Tamandua tetradactyla: one gene and its partner. The protein of the gene in region 1 interacts with the protein of each later gene in a biochemical or structural test. Links are inferred from orthologs where the notes say so. Each region holds a gene or a part of one and is shown on either strand. Other genes may lie near its edges. The genes, in order: SEMA4D and CD72.

The links.
Region 2: the proteins of SEMA4D (region 1) and CD72 form a complex in vitro, tested with the Homo sapiens proteins (2 studies listed by BioGRID and IntAct). The link is inferred for Tamandua tetradactyla from reciprocal best matches to the Homo sapiens genes SEMA4D and CD72.

The regions. Positions count from the first base shown.
Region 1 is NC_135328.1:10,162,626-10,177,520, forward strand, and holds the start of SEMA4D (semaphorin-4D), read left to right. Parts: upstream 1-7,877; 5' UTR 7,878-7,955; intron 7,956-14,895. UniProt on the Homo sapiens protein: Cell surface receptor for PLXNB1 and PLXNB2 that plays an important role in cell-cell signaling. Regulates GABAergic synapse development. Promotes the development of inhibitory synapses in a PLXNB1-dependent manner.
Region 2 is NC_135328.1:60,155,337-60,170,582, forward strand, and holds the start of CD72 (B-cell differentiation antigen CD72), read left to right. Parts: upstream 1-8,327; 5' UTR 8,328-8,482; coding exon 8,483-8,564; intron 8,565-8,677; coding exon 8,678-8,785; intron 8,786-9,397; coding exon 9,398-9,472; intron 9,473-10,166; coding exon 10,167-10,256; intron 10,257-10,635; coding exon 10,636-10,971; intron 10,972-13,469; coding exon 13,470-13,618; intron 13,619-14,181; coding exon 14,182-14,300; intron 14,301-15,014; coding exon 15,015-15,159; 3' UTR 15,160-15,164; intron 15,165-15,246. UniProt on the Homo sapiens protein: Co-receptor of B cell receptor (BCR) that plays both positive and negative roles on B-cell functions. Recognizes the Sm/ribonucleoprotein (RNP) self-antigen ligand, and coligation of CD72 and BCR inhibits BCR signaling.

The DNA of each region.
Region 1 (14,895 bases):
TGGAAAGATGAGGTAGTGAGAAAAAGGGCTGTGGGTGGGATGCACAAAAGCATTTATTTTTCATCTTCTATAGTAAAGAGTCAAATGAAACTCTCTAAAGTGGACAAGAAGCATAAATGTTCAGTACAATACTTGACAATATGCAGTAACCAATAAGAGAACTAATATAAAAAAATCAGGGGAGTATAGAGATGTGGGCACAGGTGGGCATGTGCTATATTCTCCTCTCTCATCCCAATGAGTCATTAGCCATGTCTACTGGTAAAAAATTAAGAAGTAGAGATATAAATAACTTATTTTAGGGTTGTAGAGGTAAATATCAGAAAAACTAGGAAATGGTTTCTCTGGGGAATAAAATAATGGGTAGGGTGAGAAAATTTTTTCTATTGTATTTTTTTATTAGGTCATTTTTTTTTACCTTGTTCATGGGATACTCTGATAGTGGTTAAAAGTCATTTTAAAAGACGGAAGCAAGATATATATACGCATAACCAAAGGGCGTTCATGAGATTGCAGAATGAGACCTGAATACATAATCCCACTTTAAAAATAAATGAGAGAGAGAGAGAGATTGATTAATTGATGCTTGGCCTTTTAAAAAGAGTTCATGCAGGTCTGTTTCAGGGGACTAAAAAGGCCTGGAAGAAGAAGTGGGAAGATTGATTATCTAGGAGGGTGGTCACGTCTTAGTTTCCTTACTTCTGTGTGATTTGACTACTTTTGAAACATTTGCATAATAATTTTAAAACACTAAAATATGCAGTTCTGCATTGTAAAGGGCATTCTGTTGAAACCAAGGTTTACACTAGTATCTCTTAGGTGTGCTCTTGCATTTTGCCTCAATAATAGAAATGTGTACTTTCCTTTTGGATAAGGCTACATCTCTGCAGACATTCTCCTCTGAAAATGCTTTTGGTTCTTTTGAACAAGATAAGGTGCTTAAGAGCTTCACAAGTGAACAAGGAATGCCGGCTGTGCAGGGGCCACATCCTGTCCTCTGAGGCTTCCGAGAACTTGTGGACAGTCCATTAGCAGGGGTGGGAAGGGGCAGGGTTGACTGCCTGATGATGTGCATCCACTGGCCTGATTTGAAAATACTTCCCATCGCTACTCACAATTTCAGAGTTCTCAGAATAGAATTTTTCAGTGAGGCTGAGCCATGATATATTTTTTCCATATAGTGATAAGCAGGTAGCTACTATCGTTGGTGGGCTGTGGAGTTTTCATAGAAAGCCTTTGATTTCTTCTGTTGTGTGGGAGAATCACACAGAGGCATTCAGCCTTTCAGTATGGAATAGAAAGGACTGTGAATGAAAAGTAAAGGCAAATGCTGCAGACACTCACTCAAACTGAAAATAAGTGAAGCTCAATGATGAAATGAGAGCAAGGTTGCCTCATCCCCAGAAGATTTACGTGAGTAAAATCCACTGATGAGTGATTCAGACAGAGAGAAGAGAAAATCAAGGGTTCATCATGACAGCACTGAGGCCTCCGTTTTTTCTCTTTGAGGAACCCAATGCTCTTTTACATGCTCCAAGTCCCTCAATATACAAAGGGGAGTTGGGATCCCTGGGTCCTCTCCTCATCAGGTCCCAAGGTCCAGACCCTGCCAAAAAGTGAACTGGTGGCACAGAAGGTATGAGAACCCCTCAGCTCATCTGAGGCGCCGGCATGTGGAAGGACCAAAAACGAGCAGGTTAGCAGTTCCCAGGACTGACAACACACTCAATGCATGGTCAGCATTATTGCTTGCGTTTGTATAAAACCTTCTGACTTATCTGCACATAAGTATTGATCCTGGCCTGTCAGTGCTACACTGGGAGTTGTAAAAAAAACAAAACACTAAAATGTGCAGAAAGGCAACTGCCAAGAAAACTGCAAGCCAGGGTCCAACTCTTATCTAGGAACTTACACAATCGGTGAATAATAAACTTGGCTGACCTGAGCCTGTTTCCTCATCTCCATGACTACACCACTGATTATCTGCCTTTCTACTGTTCATGGAAACTCGCACTGTTTCTAAATTGGGGCTATCACATATAAAGCTGCTAGGAACATTCTTGGATATATCACTTGATGAACATAAGCACTTATTTTTATTGGGTATATGCCCAGGAAAGGAATTGCTGGGTCATAGGGTAGATGTACGTTTAACTTTAGTAGTGCTGCTAAATCGTTTTTCAAAGCTATGGTGCCATTTAACACTCGCACTAGCAATGTATGAGAGTTCCAGTTGCTCTACAGCCCAATCAACACTTGGTGGTTTCTATTTTAAACATTTTAGTAGGGGAGGAGTTTCCCACTTACATTTATTAAAACGCTAATTACACTGAGTGTATCTGGCAGTCTGCTAATTGCTCATCAATATCTATTTTGCCCTTTCTTAATATATTAGATGTTTAGCTGGATACATAGTCACTCATCTAACAACTGCATTTCCAAGCCTCACTTGTGTCTACATGGTAAGTTCTGGCCAATGGCACATGACAGAAGTGTCAGTGCTACTTCCTGCCCTTGCTTTTAAATCCAAGGAGACTGTTCTTCCTGGTTTCATTCCCTGTCCTGCAGAATGCATGATAACCCCCAAATGGAGGATGCAAAGCCACCTCCTAGTTCTGATCCATTTGTCTACCTCGGGCAATGTTATTTGAGAGATGAATAAACTTCGATCTTGCTTAAATGATTGCATTTTGGATTTATTTATTACAGTAGCAAACCTGTCCCCTAATTAATAGTCTGTGATCACTCGTTAGCCCTCTGGCTCTAACACTTCTGGACATGTTGTTCTTGTTGGTTCAGCATCCAAGTGCCCATTAGGAGAGTGCTCCTCACCCAGTTCTGTGGTTCTGGGCAGAGATTACTGATCTCACCCTCCTGCAGGCATTGGCATGTGACCAGGTCTGCCCAGTGGAGGTTCCCATGCCTGTCCAGAGTGAATGGGCATGAGACCCAATCAAAGTCCTTCCATGAGACTTGCAATATGGAAAGAAATAGTCATTGTCATCATTTTAGATTGAGGCTGCCCATGATCTTGTAGTGGGAGAGACTGAGTCCAACACCCAGAGAGAAACAGAGCCAAACAGAGAGAGAGAAGGACATAGCATCAGAAAGAAGGAAGGAGGAACCATGTTTGGGCTCCAGGATCCAGCTGTACCTGAAGCTGGACCACCCTCAGGCATATGTGAGCCAAGAGTTTGACCTAAATTTCTGCCACTTGCAACTTGAATGCTGGGAATTCAAATTCCCTCTCCCTTAAAACAGGAGTTCTTAATCTGCGTAGACTTCGGAGAATCCATCCAGATGGAATGGATGGGGGAAAATACATTTTTCCAGTAAATTTCCTTAGAAGTTAAGGATTTCTTTCAAGAATCCGTGAAGGCAACAAAGTACCATCATATTAGCAATATGTGTATCCTTTGTCCCAGTAGAAACTGCAAACATTTTCACATTACATTTTGGTTGTTGCAGATCTAAAAGTAACGTGTATGCTTATGACTACTTTAAAATTGCTAGTTATTAGACCTGCTGCTGGATCGTAATATTTACTGTGTAAATAGTGAAGCAAATGTGTCAGAGATTTAAAAATATTATGATAGACAGATTTCAATAAAATCGGTTTCCTTTTTTAATTATGCATTTCATTGTATGTGTGCAAAAGCTTCTTTCTGGAAAATGGTTTACAGACGTCACCAGGCTCATGAAGACCTAAAATGGAGACCAGTGAAGAGAAAAATATAAAGGAACAATTATAGTTTGACCTGGTGCGTTATTATTGAGAGATGTTTATATGACACCAAAGTCGCCAGGCAACACTCAGCTCTGCCTGGGGTGTGTGGGTAGCGGTCGGAAGCAGGGGACACCTCCAAGAGAAAGTGATACTTGCTGGGCCCAGCCTGAAAGCGTGAGTGGGCTTTCACCAACAGGCAAGGAGATACAGGAATGTCCCACGGCTCTGGCACCTGGTGGCATCAGTCGGTAGGGAACCAGGAAGGCATTGCCGGGTATAGGTCGGTATAGGGCATGCTGGCTCTAGTTATGCTAACAATAGGGTAGGGGTAGCAAATGAGCACTCATGTTCCATCCGTGGTTGATTTAGACTCTCCCCGGATTTGAAGTGGGGTGGTGGCAGCTTCCTTCACCGGCCCCTTGTCTGGAATATTTACAGTCCGTCAGTGTCACAGGGGGTGGCTTGATGAACCGAGCGGCGCTCTTGGAGACATGGAAAGTGCTGAGATGGGAGTGTGCATGAGGCTTAGATTATACCCCTCAAGCAGATTCAGTAGGTTCTTAGCAGTTTGATAGCTAAAATACTGCACGGGGCGCAAAGAACAATGCCATCGTCTCAGCCAGGCCCTCGTTGAGATCCTGCTGCCCGTGCAATCTTAAATTTCCAAAGGCGGCTTTACAGTAAAAAGCCCTCCAAGTCCTGTGGGGGGTCCTGAGGCAGCAATGACAGGGAAGGGTCCTGGGGCACTGGAGAGCCCAGAAGCCTCAGAATCCTTGGCAGCTTCCTTTTCCAGGTGAAGAGGCAGCTCAGATAACGAGGGGGTGCAGGGAGGCCAGTGAGGACTCTTTAATTTAGAGGGGCCGGCCAGGCTCCTTAAGGCGTTTACAGGCATTGGGGGGTGGGGGGTGGGGAGAGAAGGATGGTGACAGGGTAGGGGGGTGACAGGGTGTGTGTAAGGCCATCAGCAGGCAAATAACCGGAGAGGCATTCCTCCACATCTGAGAACTACTTTGTGGTCACATTAAAAGGCACTTTCCCAGACTTCTCTTGGAGGACGCTGGCAGGCCCAGAAGTGGCCATAGTCTCCCCAGACATGACCTCAGCCTTTTTTTTGGGGGGGGGGGAGTGGGAATGGGGGGACATTTCTCCAGGGGTAGCTACTCAATTCCCGTTGCCAGCTCACTGTGTGAAACCCTGCTCCCGGGGCCTGTGAGCTGGTCTCGGGGACTGAAGCTTCTGTCACAGGTGAAGTACAACACCTTGAGCCCTTATTAAGAACATTTCCTCCACGGCTTAAGGATTCCCCACCGGGACAAGCTTCAAACTGCTCCCAGCCGCCACCTTCATGCATAAGCTCCATTGCATAGCCAGGTCCCGAAGTAGGGAAATCGGGAGTCTCTTATGTTAGAGCAGAATGCTATCTGTGCCACCTAAACTGCGAAACCTGAGTTTCTTTTTCATCTGGGATTTAAATATCATCTTCCTCAGTGTGTGTGTTCATCCATGTCCATATGATGTAACTATTGAGTGGGAAATGCAGAATATGACCTCAGCAGCCAAACACTCAGCATTTCTGGGAAAACTTGAAGACAAGTAGGTTGATAGGCGGTCTTTGATGTGCTTCTGATTAATACTGGGGAGGGGCAAAGCAAGTGGGTCAGAGATGAAACAAGATTGGCAACCCCTCCCGACCCCAAGCATGGCAGTTCATCTTTCTATTTGTGTGCATTTGTTTAAAGTGTTCCGTAATATCATAAAATGTAAAACAACAATAAACACAAAGACAAACTGGGTAATCATGTGTGAGCTGGGTGATCACGCCTGACATGCTTGAAAGAAGGGAACCGGGAAAGGAGCCCACATTTCTGTCTCCCTTCCATGGGCTGGGGGTGGTAGGAAGTGTGCTTTCTCATTTAATTTCTTCTCGTCCCCCTTGCACCAGTCAGGAAACAGGCTTAGAGAGATTTAGCAATGATCACAGCCAGGTCAGTCACACTGACCTCTCTTCTTTGCTCAGAGCTACCCTCCCTCTCTGCAAAGGCCACTGGAAGAGCCGTGGGACATGCAGCAGATTGTTTTATACCATATTAAAGAAAGCATGGCTATAAAAGCTGGCAGAGGCTTCAGCAGCCATGGAGACGAGCCTCCTCCTTGCTGCAGAATCCTTCTGGTGGTTTCCCTGCAGTGGCCCCCCTAGTAACCAGGGGCCGGCTCCTGTGCTTTCTAATCTAATTTCCACGCATCTGTCCTCATTCTGACCTTCATAACCCCAGAGAGCAATCCTTTTTTTTTTTCCTGGACAGTTTTGCAAATATTTGAATTCCTCTGTCTTGTGCTCCATACACGGGTTTTCCAGGTTGAAGGCTCCCAGCGTCCCAACTGCACTTCCAAGGCATGCTGTCTGCTATCCTTAGACACCTAGAGAGGGCTCTGTGTTCTAGATGCTTCTGATTAGTGAAGGATGAAGGAAGCCATGCCAGTTATCTCTGGAATACCTGCATTTATTGAATCTAAGTTCATTCTTGGGACCCTACCCTACTCTGCTCCTGTTCAATTTTAATTTAAATGAGATGGGAAACATAAATCCATGGACTTCTACAACTGGAGGAGAGTTTGGAAAGGGACATCTCCTCCATGTTTTTCCTTTAGCAGTCCTGGGCACTGACGCTGATCAGGCGGAGAGTGCTTTGCTGTGCTGCTTGGGTAACCCTAGAGGAGGGGCCCTCTCTGTCAGCATGCTGGGGACGGTTGGGAGGCTGAGGCCCGAGGTCACCTTGGAGGTGGCAGAGCCATTTCCAGATTCCAGATCCAAACTCTTTGGCTGGAGGGAGGGAGTCTAGAGTCATGACCTCATCCCCGCCTTGCACCCTGGGGCACTGGCTTCGCCATCTTAGCTTCCACTGGGCCCCTGCTGGGCCCCTCATGCAGGCAGGAGGCTCCCAAGGAGAGTTCCATGTCTCTTGGACACTTAACTGGTCATTTTGAAATTGCTTCATTTTTTAAAATCCTCTGAAGTTCTGGCTTCAGTGGGCTGTGGTTCTTGGGAAAGGAGCCCCGGGGTCATCTGCAGGCGTCCTGCAGTACTGGGAGCTACTGCCAGTCTGATTCTTCCCACTTGGAGGAAATCTTGGGTGCTTGAATTGGGAACTGTGCCCTCTCCCAGGGCTGAGTTCCTTAGAGGGCCCACCAGCCCAGCCAGCTGCTTCTTAGCCAGGAGGGAGGTGGCCTGGAGGCACTTCATCTTCTCAGGGACCCCCATGGCTCCAACCCGTGGGGTGATCACAGCCATGTCTAGTCCAGGACCACCCTGGAAACCCTTTGCTGGCTAGTGTGGAAAACAATGGCCGAGTAGCACATTTAGCAGACAGTTGGCATGGAGGCCTAGACGGGCTGCAGAAAAGCCAAGACCGGAGGCCGTCGGATGCCTCACTCAAGGAAAATGGGGCGGGGGCCGGCGGCCCGGTCCTCTAGCCCCATTCAGCTGTACTTAGAAGCCAAGGAGGAAAGGTATTCTGGTTGTCCACAGGCTTTGCCCCTCCGGGCAGGTCAGGTCACCAGGAGAACTGGCACCAGGTCTTGGGAGTGGAGAAAAAGGTGGAGAGTCGGGGTCCTGGGAAGGGTGGGGCCAGGTCGGGGCCCCTAAAGGGGTAACCTGGTCCGTTGAGAGGTGGGGATGAGAAGCGGTGCGTGGGAACCCAGGCTGGATCCAACAGAGACCGCCAGAGCCCGGCCAGGGGAAGGACGGGGAGGGGAAGGGGAAGAGGTAGGAGCTGGCGGGCGGGGACAAGGTGTGGAGCGAAGCGGAGAGGGCCAGGGAGAGGGAGCGGGAAGGGGGAGGAAGAAAGAGGAGGGGAAAGGAGAGAGAGCGGGAGGAGGAGGAGGAGAGAAGGGGAAGGCGAGGGGAGGAGGAGGAGGGGAGGAGGAGGAGGGGGAAGGGGAGGGGGGAGGCGAGGGAGGAAAGGGGCGGGGGTGGGGAGGAGCCTGCCGCGCGCCCTCCTCCGCGCCCTCCGTCCCCGCGCCGGCCCCGGCGCCCTCCTTCCCCGCGCCGCAGCATCCCCCGCCGCCGCCGCCGCCGCCGCCGCCGCCCCGACTCTCCCGAGCCGGGCGTCCCGGGCCGTCGCCGCCGCCGTCGCCGCCATTCCTGGCGCGGGAGCTGGCCGCGGCCGGGGCGCGAGCACCGATTCCGCCGCCGCCAGGAGCCGCCCGGCCGCGGGGGCGCCGCTCGCAGGTAAGCGCCAGGCCGGGCGGGCTTGGCGGGGGCTTGGTCGGGGCAGGTGCGCGGGGGGCGCGCGTCGGGGCCCCTCTCCCCGGTCCCCGCCCCCCGCCCTGGCGCGCGCAGGTGGCCCCCGGGGGGTGGCGCGCTCGAGAGCCGGCCCCCGGGAGCAGCCGGCGCGCCCGGGCGGCCAGGCCCCGGCCCCCTGGGTGCCGCCGCGCCCTCGGGCAGCCCGGTGCCGCCGCGGTGGGGAACCCTGCCCGCTCCGGTCGGGGTCGGAGGAGGCCGAGGCCCGGGTGACGCGGGGCCCGCAGTGGCGCACTCAGACAGGTGGGGGCAGGTCGCGGGCCACAGCCGCCTTAGGTGTCGCTGGCGTGGCCGCACCCCCAGCGGGGCTCGGTTTTCTCCGGGTTTCGGCGGGTATTATTTTAGAAAAGCAGAGGCGAATCCCCGGTCTGGGCTCCGGGCTGCACCTGTTGCTGCAGCCTGCTTAGCTGCGGGGAGCTGAATTTACTGGGGTTTTGCCAGTAAAAACATGTAAAGGATATTTGAGCTCGTGGGTTTCCTTTTTATTTATTTTCTTTAATGTTTGGGGGCGAGGTGGGTGGGGCGATGGGATTCGGGAGGTGGGCAGTTCATTGAAAAGCCTGTTGCCACAGGGTGGTGGTGGGAGGCTGTGGGTCCCTGCTTCCTGAAGCTCTGGCCGGCTTAAGTTGCTTGGCTCTTGCGATTGAAAATCCTCCACTTTCTACAGAGCAGATTTCAGGCCCGTGGGTAGGTGGGGCACCCACGCCAGCTGGGCCGGGATTTAGGGCCTGTGGCCTAGTGTCCCTCCCTCTGTTTTGAGTCCCTGTGAATCCACTGGGTGCAAGAGGAAAGGAAGGTCCCTTCTCTGGGGGTGAAATGTCCCTGTGGTTTTATACTTGCCCCAGGCCTGGGGTGGGGGTGGGGGGAAGGGGAGGGGGCAGTGCCCGGCTGTCCTGGATGCTTGTGTGGTTTGGAAATGTCTAACAGAAAAACATGGCCTGAGCCAGGTTCCTGGTAGAGTGGTGATAAAGCCCCGATTGTCCTGTTAACGGTTGGACCACATTATGTCCCAGATAACAGCCCATGGAGGAGAATAGGGCAGGCTTGTTCCTAGCCCACCAGCACCCGTGTCATCACTCAAAGACAGATGCCTTCCCGGTTGTCAGTAATGATGGGATGGTGGAGGATGTACCCAAGATGTTTCTTGGGCAAAGGTTGTCCTCCACGAAGGCCAAACGGTCAGACTAATCAGAATTATCTGTTGTATCTCCAAGAGGCCAGACAGATCAAGAAGAGTAAAGAAGCCACAGTTACCGGAGGCAGCCCTGTCCAGGGGTCCCTCCCTTGCACCGTGCTGAAGGAATGCCAGGCTGGCACTGGAGGCATCTGACCTCTGAAAATGGGCTGTTTAATTCCCCCATCTACCAACTCTTAAGCCAGTCCAGGCTCCTGACTGTGGCACCTACAACCTGTTGAAAACTGGAGTCTTTGGAACCCCCTGATGTGCTCCCCAGTGGCCGGGTAGTGGTCCAGGTCTGTGCCAAGGGGTCCTCCCCTCGTGCCTGTGAATTACTGGCTTGGCAGCACCCGCCCTTGCTGTCTGGTGCCTTTGGAAGAAGGGAGCTGTCCTTTAGTGACATCATCTCCTGATCCTTGTCGATTGATCCTTGTCTGTCTGGTGGGTTGTGGGAGGCTGATCTGCTCCGAGCTGTCTTCCCCACCCCGGTGCTTGATGGCTGACTTTTAAGTGAGGAGGGAAGGGCTGCTTGCTGGATCCAGCACGTCGGACTAGATCGATAATGCATTGCAAAGATGAATGGTTTTCCATCCGCTGTGCTCCTGCGGTGGACAGGCTGAGTCCTCTGGCCCCTCCCTCTGGGTTGCTTTCTGATACTGGGGGCAGAGTCGGTGGGTGTGGGGTGGCTGCAGAGATTCCTCCTGCCTTGGGGGACCTGGGTCACAGCTCCGCAATTGTCAGTTAGGGCCTGTGCCCCTCACCTCTGGGTATGCCCAGGTGAGACCTGCCATGCTGTCTTTGCTGGCTATCGAAGTGAAACTGCTCCCCAGTTGTTGTTTTTAATTTATAGCAACTCATAATAAGAATTTGCTGGATTAGAAGAACTCTTAAGAGGGAAGCTGTGGGACAGCGAAGTGGACCTCTTCTTCAGGCCCCGTGCTGTAAGTCCCCAGCCCTCAGGCCATCCAGGAGAACAGGTGGCTGCAGGGTGGCTGAAAATGAACTTGCCGTCGGTCTGGGAGAAAGGCTGCTGCAGACTTTGCACTTCCCAATTGGGGGCCAGGGCACTTCTCTTTACTTCTTGATTGCAGAAGGAAGGATAGACGATCAGAAGGAAGGCAGCTGAGTGGAAGTGGCATAGTCTCCTGCCACCTTGGCCATGAGTCTGGTGCCGTCTGGCTCCTGTGGTGTTGCCCATGCAGGTCCTTGGTCTCTCCTGGGCATCCTGGGTCTGGAGTGTCACCTCAGATGCAAGATGCCCCAAGAGCTGGGCAGCGAGAGGTTTCCTGGGGACTGGGCCTAACTCGTAGCCGTAGCCAGCCTCCCTACCTGTGAGGTGCCCAGGCCGTGGGGGGAAAGTGGAGATTTATTAGAAGGAAGTAGCTGCTGATTGGTACACAAGTGGGCCTCTCCTGGAAACTGGGATGGAGTCTACAGGCAGTTCAGTTAAGGTGGCCTTTGAGATAAGATGATGGTTCACTTCCCACCTGGCCTGATTCTCCTGCATTTCAGTTTACCTGGTAGTGCACCACAAGGCGCTTACGGCCAGGGAACAGCCCACCCCCGCCTGAGGGGCCGGTCTTGTGGGGGCCAGACTGCAGGGCTGAGGCCATGGCCCCCTCCCCAATGCAGCTGCCCACACGAGCCGCCAGTGTGACCTGCCCGTTCTTCAGTCTAGATTCCTAGATACGGCCTGGGAAAGCAGCGACTGCACACGTGCCCTCATCCCCCCCCCAACTCTTCCTCCTCCTCCAGCCCGCCCCCCCACCCAAGAATTGCTTCTATATGGTACATTAGGGATGCAGAATTTGGGCAATGCTTGATAAGAGAGCTCACAGTCAGAGCAGCATTTGATCCAAGAACCATTGCTTTTAAAAATGTATGGTATTTTTGAGACCATTGGAAATTTGTTAAATTAGTGATGATTTTAAGAACTTATGGGATTCCATAATACTAATATCATAGCTACAGTATAATGATCCTCATCCTTTATTCATAGATATCGAAGTATTTGCAGAGGAGTTGACGAGATGTTTGGGATTTGCTTCAGATGAGCACGGAGTGGGGCGGTGGGGGGGTGTGGTTGGGTGTGAGTGTCCGTTCCTGGGTGTTGGAGGGTCTGGGTGTGGGTACCTGGGAGGTGATTATTCTGTTTGGACCACTTCTGTGAACTTTCAAAATTCTCCATCATAAAGAGGATTTTGCAATAACCTAATCTAATAAACACAATTCCCTTCCAAGAAACATACCATAAGATGCTTCATGGTCTGAAATAACTCAGAGGTTTGCTTTAAAAGATGTACAGACACATTAAGTGGGAACATCACTCCTCGATACCGTAGGGATCAAGGTTCGGAGGTTTGCACAAAAGCCTATTTGGACGTAGGAAAAAAGATTTGGCAGGACGTTGCATTTATGCAGCAGCTAAATATTAAATGCCTGTTGTATACCAGGTACTGCGAGAGAAACCAGGGACCCAGCCCTGAGCAAAATCAAGTCAGCAGTTAGCAGTAGAGGTGGGAGGGGGATGTGTGTGTGAGTGTGCATTGGGGGAGGGGAGCAGGAGTGGGGGGGGCAGGAGTGGGGGAGGGGAGGGGAAGGCAGGGAGGAGCAACTTTCACAACCCCCCCACCCCATTTACTTCTCCATGGTTGATTTTGCAATAATTATAATTATTTTTGGTAATGATAAAACTAATATTTTCAAAGGGCATTTCCATGAGATGATTTTGTCTCCTAGGGCCTTTAAGATAGAATTTGAATAGTAGGAATTCATATCCTGCACAACTTAATAACAGATGTTTGGCTTAAATGAGACAATCAGCGAATCACTAGTTAACTGGCCCACGGAATGTGTGTTTTGTGGGCCAGGAAGAGACAGAAGTCAGCACACCCACCACCCTCACCCCCATCAAGCAGGAAGATGGAAAGTCTGAAAGCTTAAATAACAGTATATGCCAGCCACAGAAGGGTTAACGGGAGGTAGTCTGTGCCTGATGTTGTGGGGGATGGGGGGGTGGGGCGGGGAATGGGGGTGCCTCTCAGCTCAGACACAGCCCTTATTTCGAGTGGGGAAAGATGTTCCCTCGTTGAGACTTGGAAACAGAAATGAAAGGCAAAGATGGGCTCAGAGTCTGTTCTGGGCACAATTCCCATTGCCAGTTGGATAGCTTAGCACTGGGAGTTTCATTCATTTTCAGCGGTTGCTTTGTTACTTTTCTCCTTTCATTTAGTAGAGCCTACAGTAAATACCCCCCCCCCCCAAAAAAAAAACAAAAAAACAGTGATACAGATAGCACAGAAGTCAGGAAACTAGAAAGTGAAAGTTGCCTGGAATTCTACTTTTTCTTCTTTGCTTTGATTTTCCTGTTTGTCCTTCTGCAAGAAATTAGAGGTATTTTAATATCCCGAGCATAATTTGCTTTGATCCAAGATGTGGGTACCTTTGCTTGGCTGTCTTGACTTGTGAAATGTTTGGGCTGTGTGTGGATGTAGGAGCACGCCCCTGCTGGAGCTTGTTAGTTGAGTCTCGTTAAGTCTGTGCTGTACAAAGGCCCGACTGGTCCCATTTGTTCTCACTGTGCGTTTGGGCATTTGTTTCTTGTTGTCATTTGTTAGTGTTTGCTTCTGGCCCAGACTGGGGACAAATAAATTTAGTAGATTGAAATGCTAGTGATCAATGAAGGGGAGCAGTAAGGGGCATGGTATGTATGAATTTTTTTTCTGTTTTCTTTTTATGAATTGATGCAAATGTTCTAAGAAATGATCATGATGATGAATATACAACTGTGTGATGAAAAAAAGAATGTTCATATTGTATGTTGATTGGTTTTATTAATAAAAATTAAAAAAAAAAAGTATTTGCAGACTGGGGACAGCAGGGCCCTGATGTTACTGCCCGAGAAGCTGGTGGCCTCACTCTGCAATTGGGTCGCCGGTTGGTCGTGAAGAGTATTTAATGGCCGTGTTGTCGGTGAACAGCCTGCCCATAAATGTTAGTTGTCCTCTTTGCCGTTCGAACCAGGTCCATTCATCCTTTAGATCCTTCTCCAAGAAGATGTGGGGAACCCATCCCACTAGAAGCTGGCTGTTGGGGGCAGTCCCAGTTCTTGGCATTCTCTGCCCTCTGTGAGTTTGTATCCGGTTATCCCCCCATCTTGGGTTCGTGATTGGAAGGAATCTGGTAACCTGTAAAGGCCCTCCCCACTCGTAAGTGGGCAGCTCCACAGAAGTTCATCGCTTCCCACCGCCAGTGTTCAGAGAGCACTGTCTCTGTGCACGGGACTGGGAGACCGATGGCACTCCCACTTGGAGCTTCAAATCAAGTAGAAGTTGATGGAAGGCCAATGGGGGATGGGATACATAAGCTTATGCCATGAGTTGGGAGGTGATAGTGCTCTGGAGAAAGAAAGTATGGGGTCCAGACTCTTAAGGGAGCCAGCAGCTTTGAACTTTGAGACCAGGTGATCAGGACAGGCCTTCCTGAGCCAGTGACATGGAGGAGGTGTGGGGTGTACCATGGGGTCACCCGGGCTGAGGGAACTTCAGCCTGGCACAGGCAAGGAGATCCAGGAGACGGGTGCAGCTGGAGCAGAGTGGGCTGTGGAGAGGAGGAGCAGCAGTTCAAGTGGGGAGGAGTGGTCAGATCCCAGGATATTCTGAAGATAGAGCAAACAGGACTTGCTTACAGGTTTGATGACAAGTGTTAGAGCCATAGAGGAGCCCAGGATGATGCCAAGATTTGTGGTTTAGGCAACCTGGAAGGATGGAGTCACTATCCCTTTGCAATGGGGCAGTTTGTGGATGGAGAAGTTTTGGAGCATGGCTTTCAGAATAGTACATGGATAGCTGGGTTGACTCCCAAGTAGAGATGGTGAGGAGTTGGTTGGATAAATGAGTCTGGGTTTGGGAAGAGAGGTCTGGGTTGGGAATATAAACTTGAGAGTTGTCTGTATGGAGGTGATATTTTTAAAACTGTCAGTAGGAGAGCAGCAAGGGAGTTGGAGTAGAGGGAGATGAGAAGAGGTCCAAGGACAAAGACGGGACAGGAGTCCAAGAAGATGTGGCCAGTGAAGTAGGAGAAAACCCAGGGGACTCAGCGGTTGTCCTGGAGGCCCCATGCAGATCTCGCATCAAGGAGGAAGGACCAGTTGGCTGAGAGGTCACGTAAGGAGGAGTGAGAATTGACCATTGGTTTGGCATTGGATCGACCTTGACCAAAGCAGTGAGGCCAAACTTAACAGAGTGAATTTAAGAGAGAAGGGAAGGAGGTGGATTTGGGATGGCAGGAGTGGATAACCTTTTTGAGAATTTTGAGACATGGAGTAAATGGCCCATTGGGGTAGAGAGAAGGTCTGTTTTTAAGGTTTGTACCTGGAGGTGAGGAACTACCAGAGAGGGGAGAATGGACGAAGTGGAAGAGAAGGCTTAAAATTGCCAGAGATACCAAACTGGTGAGAAGAAATGGGTGGGATATTGTGACAAGTGGAAGGGATTCCACTTCATGCCAGTGTCCTTCCGGAAGCTTCTGTTGAGTTTGTACGATGTGCTGGTGACTCTACTTGATCTCGGAGTCCACAGATGAGAGTCCTGCTGCTCAGGCGTAATAATCACTATTATGGTGACCTGTGACAGCTGAGACGTAGGGGTGCAGGTGGGGACCTGGGAGCGGTGACCTGAGGATGGAGCGGAA
Region 2 (15,246 bases), about 50 Mb from region 1:
TCTTTATATCCTCCTTCAATTCATTGATTTAATTTTTGATGAGGTTTTCCATGTCTGTTCGTATATTCTGAATTAATTGTTTCAACTCCTGTATCACATTTGAATTATTGGTTTGTTCCTTTGACTGGGCCATATGTTCAATTTTTGTAGTGTGATTTGTTATTTTTTGCTGGTGGCCAGGCATTTAATTACCTTAATTAGTTTATTCTGGAGATTGCTTTCACTTCTTTTATCTAGGGTTTTCTTGCTGGATTAATTTGTTGTCTATCTGTTCTTTGACATTCAGTTCAGTTTTTTCTGGACCTCTAGCTTAGGTTTTGGTTAACAGAGGAGAAGTTTTCAGTTCTTGTTTTCTTGTTTCTTGCCCTACTTGTATGGTGCCTCCCCCTCCCCCCCCACCCTTAGGGGGGCCCACTTAGGTATTATGGACCCCAGCCGGATTTTCCCAGATCAAACTGTCCTCCTGTCAGGAGGAAAGTGTCACCTGCGTCGGTTTTCCCTGAGGGTGAGTTCCAGCAGGTTGAAAGACTTTCCTGTGAAGTCTCTGGGCTCTGTTTTTCTTATCCTGCTCAGTATGTGGTGCTTGTCTGCCTGCAGGTCCCACAAGCATAAGATGATGCAGTACCTTTAACTTTGGCAGACTCTCCCTGCTGGGGGCGTGGTGGAGACAGAGGAGAGGTTGTAGGCTGGTTTTAATTGCTTCAAATGACCAAGCCCTGGTGTCTGAATTCCTTGAGGGAGGGATTCCACCTGAGTTGGGCTTCACCCCTCCCCTGGGGAAGGCACAGGCTCCAGACAAGCTCTCAAATGAGCTTGTTTCTGCCTATGCCTGTGGCAGTTGCAGCCTGAGAAGTCCTGCCACTGTATCCAAAGGCAGTCAAGCCTTTGTAGAAACATAGCCACAAAAACCTTTGTTTCCTTTTTTTTTTCTTTTTCCATCAGCCCCGCCCCCTTGGCGCCAGGGTAAAAATGAGCGACCACTGCTTTGATGAGGTTCAGCTGAGCTGGGGGCCTATTTTTAGTAGTCAGAATTTGTGAATTAATTCTACAATTGGTGTTTGGTTGTGCTCAGCCTCTGCTGCTGGTAAAGTCCCTTTCCTTCCTCTCTGGGGGGCTCACAGCTGGTCCAGCTGGTCCAGACTGGGGTATGCTGTGTGTCAGGTCACTGATGTGACCCCAGGGGCTGTTCTGTACTGTTTCTGGTTGTTTAGTAGTTGTTCTGGAAGACGAACTAAATCACACAGTTTGCTAAGCCGCCATCTTGGCCGCTGCCCTTCCAACTTCTGTTTACTTATTTTTAATCCATATGTTTACTCATCTGTTGATAAGATAGGTAAAAGGAGCATCAGACAGATGGTTTTCACAATTACACAGTCACATTGTGAAAGCTATATCATTATACAATCATCTTCAAAAAGCATGGCTACTGGAACACAGCTCTATATTTTCAGGCAGTTCCCTCCAGCCTCTCCACTACATCTTGACTAACAAGGTGTTATCTACTTAATGCGTAAGAATAACTTCCAGGATAACCTCTCGACTCTGTTTGGAATCTCTCAGCCATTGACACTTAATTTTGTCTCATTTTGCTCTTTCCCTGTTTGTTTTCCCCCATTTGGTCTAAAAGGTTTTCTCAATCCCTAGATGCTGAGTCTCAGCTCATTCTAGGATTTCTGTCTCACGTTGCCAGGAAGGTCCACACCCCTGGGAGTCATGTCCCACATAGACAGGTGGAGGGTGGTGAGTTGCTTGTCATGTTGGCTAGAGAGAGAGGCCCCATCTGAGGAACAAAAAAGGTTCTCTTGGGAGTGACTCTTAGGCCTAAATTTAAGTAGGCTTAACCTATCCTTTGTGCGGTTAAGTTTCATATGAACAAACCCAAGATTGGGGGCTCAGCCTATTACTTTGGTTGTCCACACTGCTTGTGAGGATATCAAGAATTCTCCACTTGGGAAGTTGAATTTTCTCCCTTTCTCACCATTACCCCAAGGGGACTTTGCAAATACCTTTTTATTCACTCTTCAAATCCTTCTGGGGTCTATCGAGGTATCACTCTGGACAAACCTACAAAATCTCATGTCCCACTCAAGGTTCCATGCACTTATATGTTCAAATAAGCTGTCCACACAAGCTATATAAGGAAATGCACTTGTCAAAATACAGATTTTGTACCAAATAAACATTTTTTTTGCTTTAGTCTCACACGTAAGTTAAAGTTTTAAAATATTTATTACCATCTACTTTCAGCACCCTGCAGTGTTGACATTCCTTTGTTCTTCCTCATGCAAAAACATTTTTTAATTTGCACATCAAAATAAAAATATAAAAAAAAATCAGGGGGGACCTCTGAGAGCTAATACAGAACATGCTCCCTCAGAGTTACCCCATCTGAAGGGGAGGGTGCTGGCACACTTATACACCAGCTCCCTCTAGTCACTCAGAGCTGCTCTTGGGGGCACTGATTCTCCAGGACCCCTGGCCTGCCACGTGTAGGGGAAGAGCTCAGCTTCCAAGGGCAAACCTCCAGGCTATAGAGACATGGCGCAGGCAGTTGGCAGCTGGGCTGATGGGCACCGCAGTACAAAGCCTGAGGGGTCCCAACTGTGGCACTGACAGCGCCCGCACAATCCATTCATTGCTCCAACCCCCTCCTGCTGCTCATTATGTTCACGCTGCCCTATCACTGCTTCTTCAAGGCAGTGACCCATCACAATTGCTTAAAAAAGAAGGAGGAAGAGGAAGAATAAAAATTTGCAAAAGGAAGGCTAGTGGGACAAGCTACACTCCCTGCTGCTGTCTGTGGTCGATTCTAAGGTGCTACTGGTTGACAGTCATCGTTTCCCTCTTCCACTGTCCAGTGTAGACTTCCCTCAACCCACTTCCAAGGCCTCTGAGGCCTGATGGTGGTGCCCTTTTCAGGCCGTGGTGGACACAGTTGCCCATTCACGGATGTATGTCTGAGCATAGAGCAAAGGAGGTGCCCATGAATCCGCTGGTGGGCAGCTGCAGTCCTCCCACCCCCACACTGCAGCAGCGACTCTGTCTTCCCAGGTTCAATGAACCCTGCCAGGAGAATCACTCCCTATTGACTGAGAGACAAGCAGCCAGGCACACTTGCAAAGGTAGAGAGGACTGGACTCGCTAGGCAGAAAGAGGCTCCTTCTGTGCCTCCCTTTCAGTTTCAGCTCCATTGCTGAGTGATCGTTTCCACCTTTTCCCATTTAAATTCCTGAGTGTGAAACTTCTGTAAGCTCACATTAGCCCTGATTTCCAGGCCAGGCCATGCCCTAGACCACAGGCTAGTCTACAGACCGGCCAGCCTTGGGTCCCTTTTCCCCACTTGGTTATTTCAATCAGCTGAGGTCTGAGAGTTTGGGGCAACATAATGCAAATCCTGGGGTATAGGATGGCGTCATCTGCAGGGGTTCACCCCCTTCAAAGAGGCTGTAATTGTGGCTGGTACAGTGTCTGACATTTTTGGTAAAGGAGCTGTAGTTTTTCCACACGCTTTCTTAGTCTATGCGTTTAGTTCATAATAAGTTTATAGTCCACTGAACCTAGCTTCCTAATTTGTAAATTAAGTGGGTTGGGCTCTAAAATGTCCCCCACCCTCAAATTTTTTCTACATAAACTATTGTTAGGACAGGACTCCCTCCATCCTATGCTTAGGTACTTTTCTTTTAACCCCTAATTTCATTTTTCAATAAATGCTAGCCATTGTCATTTATTAAATTATTACACTTCATTCTTCTTAAATTTCATTCTGTGGTCTGGAGTCATCTTTTTGCCCTGCTGCAGACATTCGAATCTTGAGTTTGCCTTTCAGATATTTGCTCTTCTTTTTAGCTTTGTGCCATCAGTAAATACAAATGTGTTTTCCATGTCATCATTCAAGACGGGACCAAGGAGAGCCCGGAGGCAAGTCACTGGAGACCTAGCAGCACTCTCTGACTTCAGGAATTCAAAAAGTTGCAGGGGCCCCTCTTTCTCTCCCTCCTGAATCTGAAGCTATGGTTACGGACATTTAGAGATGCCTTTGCCACAGTCTAGACCTATTATGTTTCCGGCAATCACACCATCGACCGATATCAGACATTACCTGAATGATTGCATATTTTAAAGATGAAAACCTTGGAAATTGTGACTTGTCTTAAGTCACATACCGTGATAAGGCTGGTTTCTTTACTCCCAGTATTGTGTTCTTTCCATTACATCATGTTTCCTCCACAGTTCAGGGAACTTGTCAAAACATTGTATATTAGTTTTCTATTGCTGCTATAGAAAATTACTGCAAACTTAGTGGCTTAACCAAGAAGAATTTACTCCCTTACAGCGTGTGTAGGTCAGAAGCCCAACGTGGATCTCACTGAACTACAATCAAGGTGTCTGCAGGGTTACATTCTTTTCTGGAGGGTTTAGGGGAAAATTTGCTTCCTTGCCTTTTCCAGCTTCTAGAAGCCGACTGCGTTCCTTGGTTCAGGGCCCCTTCTTCCATTCTCAAAGGGAGCAGCGGGTTAGTTGAGGCCTTCTCGTGTTGCATCTCTCTGACCTTCTTCCATCATCGAGTCTCTCTCTTCCCACAGCCAGGAAAGATTCTCCCCTTTCAAGAACTAATGTATCAGATGGGCCTAAAACAGGATGAGCTCCGCATCTCACGGCCCTTAACATAACCACACCTGCGTTCTGCCATGTAGGTAACATGTTTACCAGGGATTTCAGTATGCACATCTTTGGGAGGCCATTATTCTGCCTACTACACCCTGTCAGTAGGTCAGGGGGTAAAGTAGTGAAGATTTTCAGAGATTAAGGAGACTTCCCTGACTTCCTGATGTTGGCTGGACTTCACCAAAGTTTATGTAGATGAACCCTTACCCATGTTGCAAATTCTTTCCTGATGCCCTCCTCTTGTGTACCTTAACAACCCATTCCTTTTTTTTTATCATCACAATCAACTTTTATTTCTCTTTTTTGTGAAAAATAACATATATATATAAAAGCAGTCAGTTTCAAACCACAGAACTACAATTCGTTGTAGAAAAGATTTCAGAGTTTGGTGTGGGTTACAATTCCACAATTTTAGGTTTTTACTTCTAGCTGCTCTAAGATACTGGAGACTAAAAGAAATATCAGTTTAATGTTTCAGCAATCATATTCGTTTCTAAACCCTACCTTCTCTGTATAACTCTTCCATCACCTTTGATCTTTCTATCCCACTCTTTAGGGGTATTTGGGTTATAGCCATTCTAATTTTTTTCATTTTGGAAGGGGCTGTCAATAATATGGGATAGAGAGATGGAATTAGCTGATGTTTTAGAGAGGTTGGGCCCTTTAGGTTTCAATATTTATCTGGTCAGAGGCCCATTTGGAGGTTGTAGGTTTCTGGAAAGTTACCCTAGTGCCTGGAACACTTGTGGAATCTTATATATTGCCCTAGGTGTTCTTTAGGATTGGCTGGAATGGTTTTGGTTGGAGTTTGGCAAGTTATAATAGGTAGCAATGTCTAAACTCATGCTTCTTTTGCAAGAAAGAGAAATAATCTCTGAGGTTTAGGCCATTATTATTTTGGCTTTCTGTCACATGCAACCAATCCTAACTGTAACAACGCATTCCTTGTAACAAGCAGTGAAGAGTCCAGGAAAGGGCAAGAAGCGGCTTTGGTGTTTGTATCCTAGGGTCTCAGATGATATTATGGTCCTGGGAAAGCTAAGGTATGCAGCACTGAACTTCAACTCTTAACCACCCCCAGGGGTTCCTGATATTTGGACAGTAGGAAATTACAGGTGTCCTTTCTGATGACCAGCCTGGAAGGTCACGTGAATGTCAATATTGCAAAGATCCCACACGGCACATAGGCGGAAGGTGACGAACTCTGCTTTCACATATACCCTATTCACAAAGCAGGCTATAAAGTGACCTAAGACAGAAGGGAATGCCAAACATCATGAATAGACAGGTAATCATCACCTAAAGGACTAAAAAGAAGAGAAAGATAGGCTGAGCCTGATCGAGACATCCAAGGCAAGCTCCTTCTTCTGGGGCTGGGTGTGTAATTAAGCTCACCCAGTTTCATCCGAGTACCCACTTCTTAAACCTGTTGAAGAGTCAAGGCAGGCCGCATGCCCACTGGCTCCTTTAATCAGTGCATACTGGGAACTCTGTTTTGGCATTTTATCTGGCATCCAGATTATGGTCACCTGTGCATCTGTTTTGAAAACGGGGACATTCATTATGTTTAGGGGATTCCTGCAAGTGTTCTTTCAACGGATTCACACACAAGCTGCCTGCCCCTGCCCCCACCTCCATAACCCACAGACACAAGAAGACTGTCCCCACCTGTCCCTGCTGCAGCTGCTCTATGCACTCCCACTCACTCTCATGTGTCCCTGAGGTCCCCAGGGAGTCACCAGCACACAGCCTCTGTTATCTGGGGGCGGCTCTGATGGGGAGAGGGTGCGGGGTGGAAGTGGGGGGGTTGCTGGAAATCTTAATCAAGCAGGGACCGTTAACAGCTGCACTGACACCTTAGGAAACAGTGAGCCTTAAAAAGGAAATACTTGTAGAACCTGTGGCCATGACCTTTTAAGACTTTTCTTAAAATGGCTGTCATTCCCTGCCCCAGAAGAAAAGAACATCTCTCAAAAGCACCCCTCGGGCCCCAGAATTCTGCAGGTTTAACCCTCCAGATAGGCTGTGACGCAGCTGCTCACCTAGCACAGGCACTCCTACCAGACCGCAAAGAGCTGGCACTGCGCGGGGCACACTTGCGCACACAGGCACACCCCTGCCTCTCCTTCAGACACATTTCTCAGGCGACAAATGTGTGCTTCTGTCCCCATGGGCACTTTCCCCAGGGCGGGGCGGGGCTGCTGGGCAGCTCTCCGGACAGACCCACAGGACCCCTTGCAGCGCCAAGCCACACACCACCACTCATACAGTATGAGCTGTTAGCGTGCCATTAGGACCTCTTCCCCCTTCCTTTTTCTCCCCACAGCTGCAGAAGGGGTTTTTGAGGGGGCAGATGTCATCCGCTGGGGTGGGTATTTTTTCCCCACCTCCACACCGCCGTCTTGTCCCAGAGTTCTTTCCAACCCCCAGAAGGAGGCCCTGTTGGGGTTCCCTGGAATGGGGCACGCTCTCTTAATAATGTTAGGGAGCACCTCGGCACCACTGCTTGACACCCCTTCTCCCCTCCCTGGCTTTCCCTCTCTCCTCCATCAGCTGGGCCCTCAGCACCTATGAGGCCTCTTAGCCACCGCATCCTCTCCACGGTGTGAGGAGGCAACGCTGGATTTTTTTTTTTCCGGCAAGTACTTTACTAGGAAAATAAGGAGGAAACTAAAACCAAACCAAGAAAATATCCTTGCTTAGTCCAGAGTCTGCATGCCCAGCATCCCGCCCTGCTTCCTTTCTTTGCCTCACCTTTAAGAAACTGCAGGAAACTTTTTTCCTTGCTCTCCCACGAGGGTGTACGAGAAGAAGGCAATGCGACCACAAGCTTTTCCAGAGGGACACGAGCAGTACTGCTGCAGGTGCTGAGGTCCCTGTGGTTGTTTTTTTCATCCTCACCCCCAGCCCAGGCCCACTCCTGAGCCTCTGCCTCCCAGGCTCTGCCTGTTGGGTACTGCACGAGTTCAGATGTAGGGACACAGAGGATGACACAAGGCTGCAGGGGCAGGCTGGGAAAAGGATGAGGCTGACCAACCACAGTAGGGCAGCAAAGACCTGATGGGGGACTGGGGACGCCGTCAGAAGAGAAGCATTTGGTCCCTGGTGTTCTGTATCTGGGACGGGCTGCCACATTCCCGGGGAAGGCTTTTCCGTGACAGCAGCCCTGTGTATGTGTGTGATCTGGGAGGTTCTACAGGGCTACAGCAGGGAGGGAGCCCCCAGAGTCCCCAAGTTGATGAGGGAATCCACCACACAAAGGAGTCTCTTTCTGGGAAGAGATGCACTGGTGGGAAAAAGACAAGGTTCCCCCCCTCCCCCCACACCCCAGGCAATGACTGGGGATATTCTCTGGGATTATTTGGGCACAAGAGACTATAAATCATAGGTCCCAGCAGGCAGTGCAGCCAGGAGGGGAGGCTGGGGTAGATCAGGGCAGACAATCAGAAGGAGAGCTATTTGGAGCTCAGCATCACCAAAGTGGGTCTAGGATGCACGAAGAGGGAACACAGGCAGGATGCAGGGACAGATGACAGGGGGCCTGGGACAGGCCCATCCTCTGCTCCATGCTCTGGGCCCAGTTTCCCCTCCCCAGCCCCTCTGGCCCCGGCCCAGACATACCATTGCTTCACTGAACCCATCTGTCTGAGGCTTGCTCACACCTTCCTCTTTTGTGACTGGAAGGCATTGGGTAAAGTGCCAAGCTGAGCAGCCACAGCAGAAACACATAGCCTACAAGTGTGAAGGGACAGAGAGGAGAGTGGCAAAGGAGGCTTGGGGACAAAGGACAAGGCAGGGAGTGGAAGCATTCAGGACCATGGCTGAAGCCATCACCTATGCAGACCTGCGGTTTGTGAAGGCTCCCCTGCAGAAGAACGTCTCCAGCCGGTTAGGACAGGGTAAGGGTGGACGAGGCATCTCCTTGATTCTGTCTGTATCCCCATCCTCGTTTATGACCCCGTCCCCACCCCACAGACTCCACCCCCCTGAGCCCGGCCTGTCTCCTTTCCAGACCCAGGAGCTGATGAAGATGGGGAAATCACCTATGAGAATGTACAAGTGCCCTCAGCCCCAGTGGGGCCTCCGAGCTTGGAGCCCTACGGACTAGGGGACAAAGCAGGTATGGGGAGCCCAGGGGATGTGTGCTTGTGGGGGACTGTGTCTTGGGCTGGGAATTCCCACAGGATTCTTGGGAAGGTGATACCCTTCCGGGAAAGGGAAGGAAGTCTTAGGAAAGATGAGAATAAGAACTGGATAAGGCAGTTCTGGATAAGAACCAGGCAGAGAATAAAGATCCAAGGGGCTAGGAGGGAGACCCCAGTGGGGAGATGAGGGATGTGGGGAGTGATGGCGTGGCCCTGCTGTGAGTCACAGTAGAGAGATGAAAGGGAACCGGAGCGGGAGGAGAGCAACCTCAGAGAGAGGGTGGTGGTGTGGAGATACGGGGATCCCTGAGGGAAAGATCAAGGGACACGCAGTAGGGAGATGAGGGGGACCCCGGGGAAAACACAGTTGAGCCCCAATCGAGAGATGAGAGTCCCCAGGGAGATGAGAGTCCCCAGGGAGATGAAGAACTCCTGAGGGTGACAGAGGTGTCCCAGAAGATTCATAGAGTGCAACACAGGACACACTGCGGTCTCAGCGTAATGGTGGTAGTGAGGGGAGAAGAGGAACGGAAGAAAGGTCCCTCTCTGGTGTTTCGCATCTACAAATTGCAGCTGGTCTCCTTCAGCAGGGGTTAAATCAGAGCAGCCAACTAAGGCTTGGAGCTCGATGACGTCACCTGTTGCCGGGCGGAATCTCCCGGGTGAGTATCACGCCCTCCCCACCCCGCGCGCCCGTGACCTGCTGCTGGCCTCGCGCGCGAGTACTTGGGGGTGAGGCCGCCGAAGGCCCGATCGCTGCGGGAACATTTCCCCACTTCGCAGACTCTGAGTCCCAGGGAAAGAGTCGGGGGGTGGGGGTGGGGGGGGGAAGGCGCTGATGCCTGTTCTGTCCGGGCTGGGAAAGTGCTGGGCCCCATAGTGTGCAGGTATGACCTCGGGAGCGAGCCCAGGGAGCAACCCTTAGCACCACCCCTGTAACATGGTGACCCTGTTCCCTTGTCCCCTTACGCCCATCCTCATGTCTATCATTTAGACATGTGGATCCAGGCTGGACACCGTCCCCTACCCCCACCCCCAGCAGACGATGGCCCCAAAACCCGCTAGTCTGAGGCTTCGTGCCTCCTCCTACCAGATAATGCCCCTCAATTCTCTTTATCAGCAACAATCCCCAGCTCTTATTCTGAGGGATTCCTGGGGCAGGGGGGAAGGGTTCCCAATCCCTCCCCTGCCTGTGAAATATTCCCACAGGCGCACAAAAACCACCACACTCCTCCCTCATCAACCCTGCACCCCTCCTGTTAGGGATACTCTTTCTTCATGAATGCCCCCCACCTGCCAGCCCTTCACTGTGTAACTTCCTGGGACTGACTGCCCTCCTTCCACTGTCTTCCTAAGGCTGTGCAGCCGGCATGCAATACTTCCTTCTGGGCCTGCTCCTCACCTGCCTGCTCTTAGGGGTGGCCTCCATCTGCCTGGGAGTGCGCTGTGAGTACTGGCTGCTCTTTCATCCCCCATCCCTCCACCCCCATTGCCCACTCACTTCCAAACAACTTATTCCCTAAACTCCCCAACAGCCACCCTTCCTCAGCAGGGCCCATAGTCGTTACCATCACGTCCGTCCTTGTCCTCCTTAGCCTTTGGTCTGGTTTCTAGCCAGGTCTGGCTTAGAGCACTTGTGTCTGCCTAAAGGATCCTTACCTAATCCAGTACCTCCTTAAACTTTAGGCAGTCAAATCTTATATTTCAGCCTGTTGTGCAATAAGTTACAAGAAGTTAAAAAAAAAAAAAAAGAGTGGATGCTGAAGTCTCAGGATACTGGGGCGCAGCTGGAAATGCCCTCCAAATTACTCTCTGTGGCCAACAGATCTGCAAGTATCTCAGCAGCTTCAGCAGGTCAACAGGGTTCTGGAAGGCACTAACAGCAGCCTGCGGAAGCAGCTCTACCTAAAGATAACTGAGCTGGGGCAGAGGAAACAGGATCTACAGGAGTTCCAGAAGAAGCTGGCCCAGAGTCAGGAAGCATTACAGGCAGAACAAGGGAGTCACCAGGCTGCAGAAGGGCAGTTACAGGTCTGCCAGTCCAACAGGGAGAAGACAGAGGAGATTTTGCGACGTGAGGAGGGGCAAAGGAACAACTTGGAGCAGAGGCTAAGCAGCACACATGACATTCTGAAACCCTACTTCAGATGTCCCTCACCAGGTATCTGCTCTGGAGAGAGGAGAGATGGGAAGGGTCTGCTGGGAGGGATGTATTGAAGCAAGGGGACACTAGTCCTATCTATCACAGGGCGTTGAGTTGATCAGGAAGTGGGGAGTGAACCAGAGTAGTGGCTGACATGAGCTGTGCAGCTTTAGCCAACAGGGAGAAGGATGAAGCTACATGGTGCCTCTAGGAAGACCACATGGAGGGAGAAGGAGGGTGGCAGCCAGCAATCCATATCACACTGTCCAAAGCAGCATGGTAAACTCATCTGGCTTTACATGTCAAGGATCTGTGAACTCCCTGAATTTGGATGTGAAATTGGTTGTTTACACATTTTTCCAAAGAAAGGGTCCATAGCTTTAATGAGGTTCTCCAAAATCTGAGACCCCTTCTCTCCAAAAGGTTAAGAATTACTGACAGATGAAGTGCAGCTGGTGGTAGTGCAAGGCAGCTGAAGTTCTCACGCACGGGTGGCATGCACAGTGAGGTGGGTGGCAAGTACTGTGGCCCATTTTGAAAGCATCCATTTTGAAAGCAGGAGTCCAGCCTGTATGTGGGAATGGGGTAGAGAGATACTTACAGGGGAGAGTGTGCCAAAGCAGGCTGACATTCTAGGCAGGATGCCAGACCTAAAGGGACGGGAATGTTTATGAACTGGTTATCTATGGTTGGGGTTAGGCTTGATCTTGCTTGTGGTGAAGCACCAGTAAGATTATATGCAGACACCCCCAGCCCTGAGTTCTTAACTTCCTTATCTTGTATGACCCCCGACTTCCATACCAGTGCTGACACCCTTTCTACAGCTGCACCCCAGTCCTTACCACCTGAAACTGCTCTCACTGAAAGGACACTTTTAGACTTCCACACTGATCACAACTGCCCACGTTTCCAGGCTTTCTCTACATTTCTTTGACCTCACTGGGGCCTCCAACTTGCTGACTCCCCTGTGTCCTCCCTCTCCGCCAGCTCCCTCCTGCTTTCACTTCCCCTGTCCGTCTTGGATTACTGGGACCCATCACTTCAACCACTCTTTGGTTCCATTGTCTTTTTGGTGCATCTGACTGGCAAAATCTCAACCCTGGATGAACCCGACTGCTTACCTTGCTCATGCCCTCACCAGGTGTTGACAAGTTGTGAAATCGTTCTGCTTGGTGCCACCAAAACGCTACTCCCCAACCTCATCTGGGGTCTCAGCACTGCCTGGCCTCCCTTGCGGTGGTCAGTTTGCTCACTCTAATGACTTATTATCCTACTACTTCCCCCCCCCCCTTTCCCCCTTATGCCTCAGTCTCCATCAGAGAGGAGAGGAGTTCCCTCCATTTTCCACCATCAAATCTATATATACATTTGCATTTTTACCCCTCCCCATCTCTTGCATGGATGACTGCAACAGCTTTCTGAATGTTTTCTCTAAATACCTCCCTCCCTTCCCATCCATTCTTCATATTGCAGCCAAGATCATCTTTTAAAAAGAAAAACCTGATCATATTATCTCAGTTAAGAACATGTCATCCCGGTTCATTAATCACATAAGCAGTTATGGACTCTATATGACATGTCAAGCCCCGTGCGCAGGCACTTGGGATATAGCTACTGAACAAAACTCCTCTATGTGAAATCTTACATTGACTTTCTTCTCATAATATAAAAATAAAGAAAATCCTTACCAAGACTTCCCAAATCCCTCCCAGCATACCACTTATTCCCTTACCCTCTTTGATCTAGCCACACCTAACTTCTTTTTGAAGTTGCGGTAGGACAGAAGCTCAAGGGGATAACTTGGTGGGGGAATTGAGAAAACGTAGACAGAGGAGAGGGAGCTGGTGGAGAGGGAATGGTTTGAGTGGTGGCGATAGATAGGACCGATGGCCTGAAGCGTTGTGGGGGTGGAGGGGATCAGGCTCACAGGTCAAAGTGAGGCTGTGCTTAAAATGAAAGAAGGTGTGTTTTTTTATGGCCTGTCCGGAGAAGAACAGAGAAGAGAACATTTTTGAGATGGAGAGAAGGGAAATGGAAAGAGATCATATTATGTATCTGACAATTTCTGCAAAAACAGGAACCAAGGTCGTCTGCTTGTGAAAGAGTGGAAAGGGAAGGAGGTGGTTAGTGGATTGAGGAGCCAGGGAAGGCTTTGAATAAGCAGTGGGAAATGCTTTAGGGTGCTAATGAGATGAATGAGAGGCTACGGAGCAATAAGAGGGAGTCCAGGATAGTAACACCAGCCCTGTTAAAAGAAATCTCCCAGATTGTTAAGGAGTAATGTTGAATGTTAAAGCCTTTTACGAAGTATACACAGGTGTGGCATTTCCAGGAGAGGCAGAAGAAAGATTGAAAATTTCAAAGACTAGGAATCAGTGAAGGTGCTGAAATTAGACTTAGAGGAATACTGTTAGCAACCAGATTGCTGTATAGTCATTTTCAACCCCAAACAGCATTGAGATCGCCCTCTTGGGACTGAGTCTGGACCGTGTTGTCACACTCTTTATGTTTTTTAGAAACTTGCTGTCCCATGGGATGGATACTGAACAAGAAAAGCTGCTTTTACCTGACAACTACCCGGAGAAATTGGGAGGAGAGCCAAAATCATTGTAAATCTCTGTCCTCTGACCTGGCCCAATTCAAAGATGGGTCTCATTATTATACAGTAAGAATACCCTTACCTGAAGACTGTAATGGGTGCTGTTAGGGAAACGTTTTCCCTCACTTAGCCAGGAATGGCAGTGCACACATGGCATGCCTGCCAAGGCTTCCTATTCCTTTTCCATGACAGATATTGATGGCCACAATCCTCTATCCCTGAAAGTGGCCTCTACTAACTGATGAGAGGTGGCATGAGAGTTGAAGCATGAATCATCCCTACTTTAGCCTGTTTCTCATCCCAGCTTTCTGGGGTTTTCTACTCTCTGGTCTCTTAGGCAGAAAGTTCCTATACCTGGGGGGCTGAATCAGGAGAATTAGTTCCCTGTGGCCAAAACAGCCTCATAAGGCTCCTTCCCAAAAGCTGGCAGAAATTCTTCCCCAGCTGGAAGGTGAACTAAAGACTGAGACTGCATTTGCAGGGTGTCACTCAAAGCCCCTGACAAGCAGATATCCTACACTGATGATGGGCACAGCCGTGTTGTTGAAGCCATAGGTCTCCCTAGGGTGCTCTTTTCTCCCTTACTTCTCAGCACTTCCCACACACCTCTGCTCTGACTCTTCCCTCAGAGTTCTTACTACAGCTCCTTAAGTCTGGTGATTTCACGTGAAGATGTAAGTGATTCATACTGGGTTGGCCTCAAGCTGAAAGACATCTGGGGGTGGACCGATGATCCATCATACTTTAGGTAAGTTTGTTAGGAAGGGCATTTTCAACTCCATATCCTGTCATAAGGACATAGTAATGTCTGAGGCCCCAGGCCCAAAAATCTTTCACAAATCAACATTGTAATTACCTATTTGCCTGTTTCTACTATTTGATTATTAACTCGAGGGAATTTTTGTTCCCTATTCTATCCTCAATACCTAGCAGTCCTTGGCCTATACTTTTCTTTTTTTTAAATAATTACTAGATTGGGACCCATGTCTTCTTTTTCTGAGAGAAACTAAGGATTGAGCTTCACTTTAGATCAGGTCTTCACAACTGATGAAGAACCCTGGTGCCCTAATTTAACTTCCCTAGCCTTGACAGACACAAACTGAGGTATTTTCTCAGTCGGGACCACTTGGGGCATTACAACTGCTCCAGGGAAGCAAGAAAGGGAGCAGTGGGGGCACTTCCAGAGGATCAACCCTAGGGACCCTGAAAAGGGGTCACCTCCTATGTACTCTAACTGGAATTTTCAGCTTTAAGACCTTGAGTGATATTTCCCTCTCCTGCTCCTTAAGCCTCTTCTGGTTGCAGTCCAGCCATCTGTGCCTGAACCAGCCCAGACGTGGCAGGTGTCTAGGCATTTGGGACTTAAGATTGGGGTTAGGTTATATGGAGGGCAAGGGCACAGAAGGGAGGATGTGATAGGAGGGGTCTGGAGCTTATCCAGTTCTATTTCACCACTGGTCAGGACGGACAAGCAACACTCAAGATGTGCTAAGGCAGAAAAGGAAGGGTGGCCAAGAGTAAAGCCAGAGAGATGTGTATCTCTTCTTCCCTGCATCTGTGAGATGGCAGCTTTCAGGTATCCAGATGAGGACTACTCATTGCACTGAGCTGCGTAAGTCTGAGAGATGGGGACACAGCTTGGGGAGTCTGCAGGGAGAGGGACTCAGAGCAGGGGCCAGTGGTCAGAGGGAGAA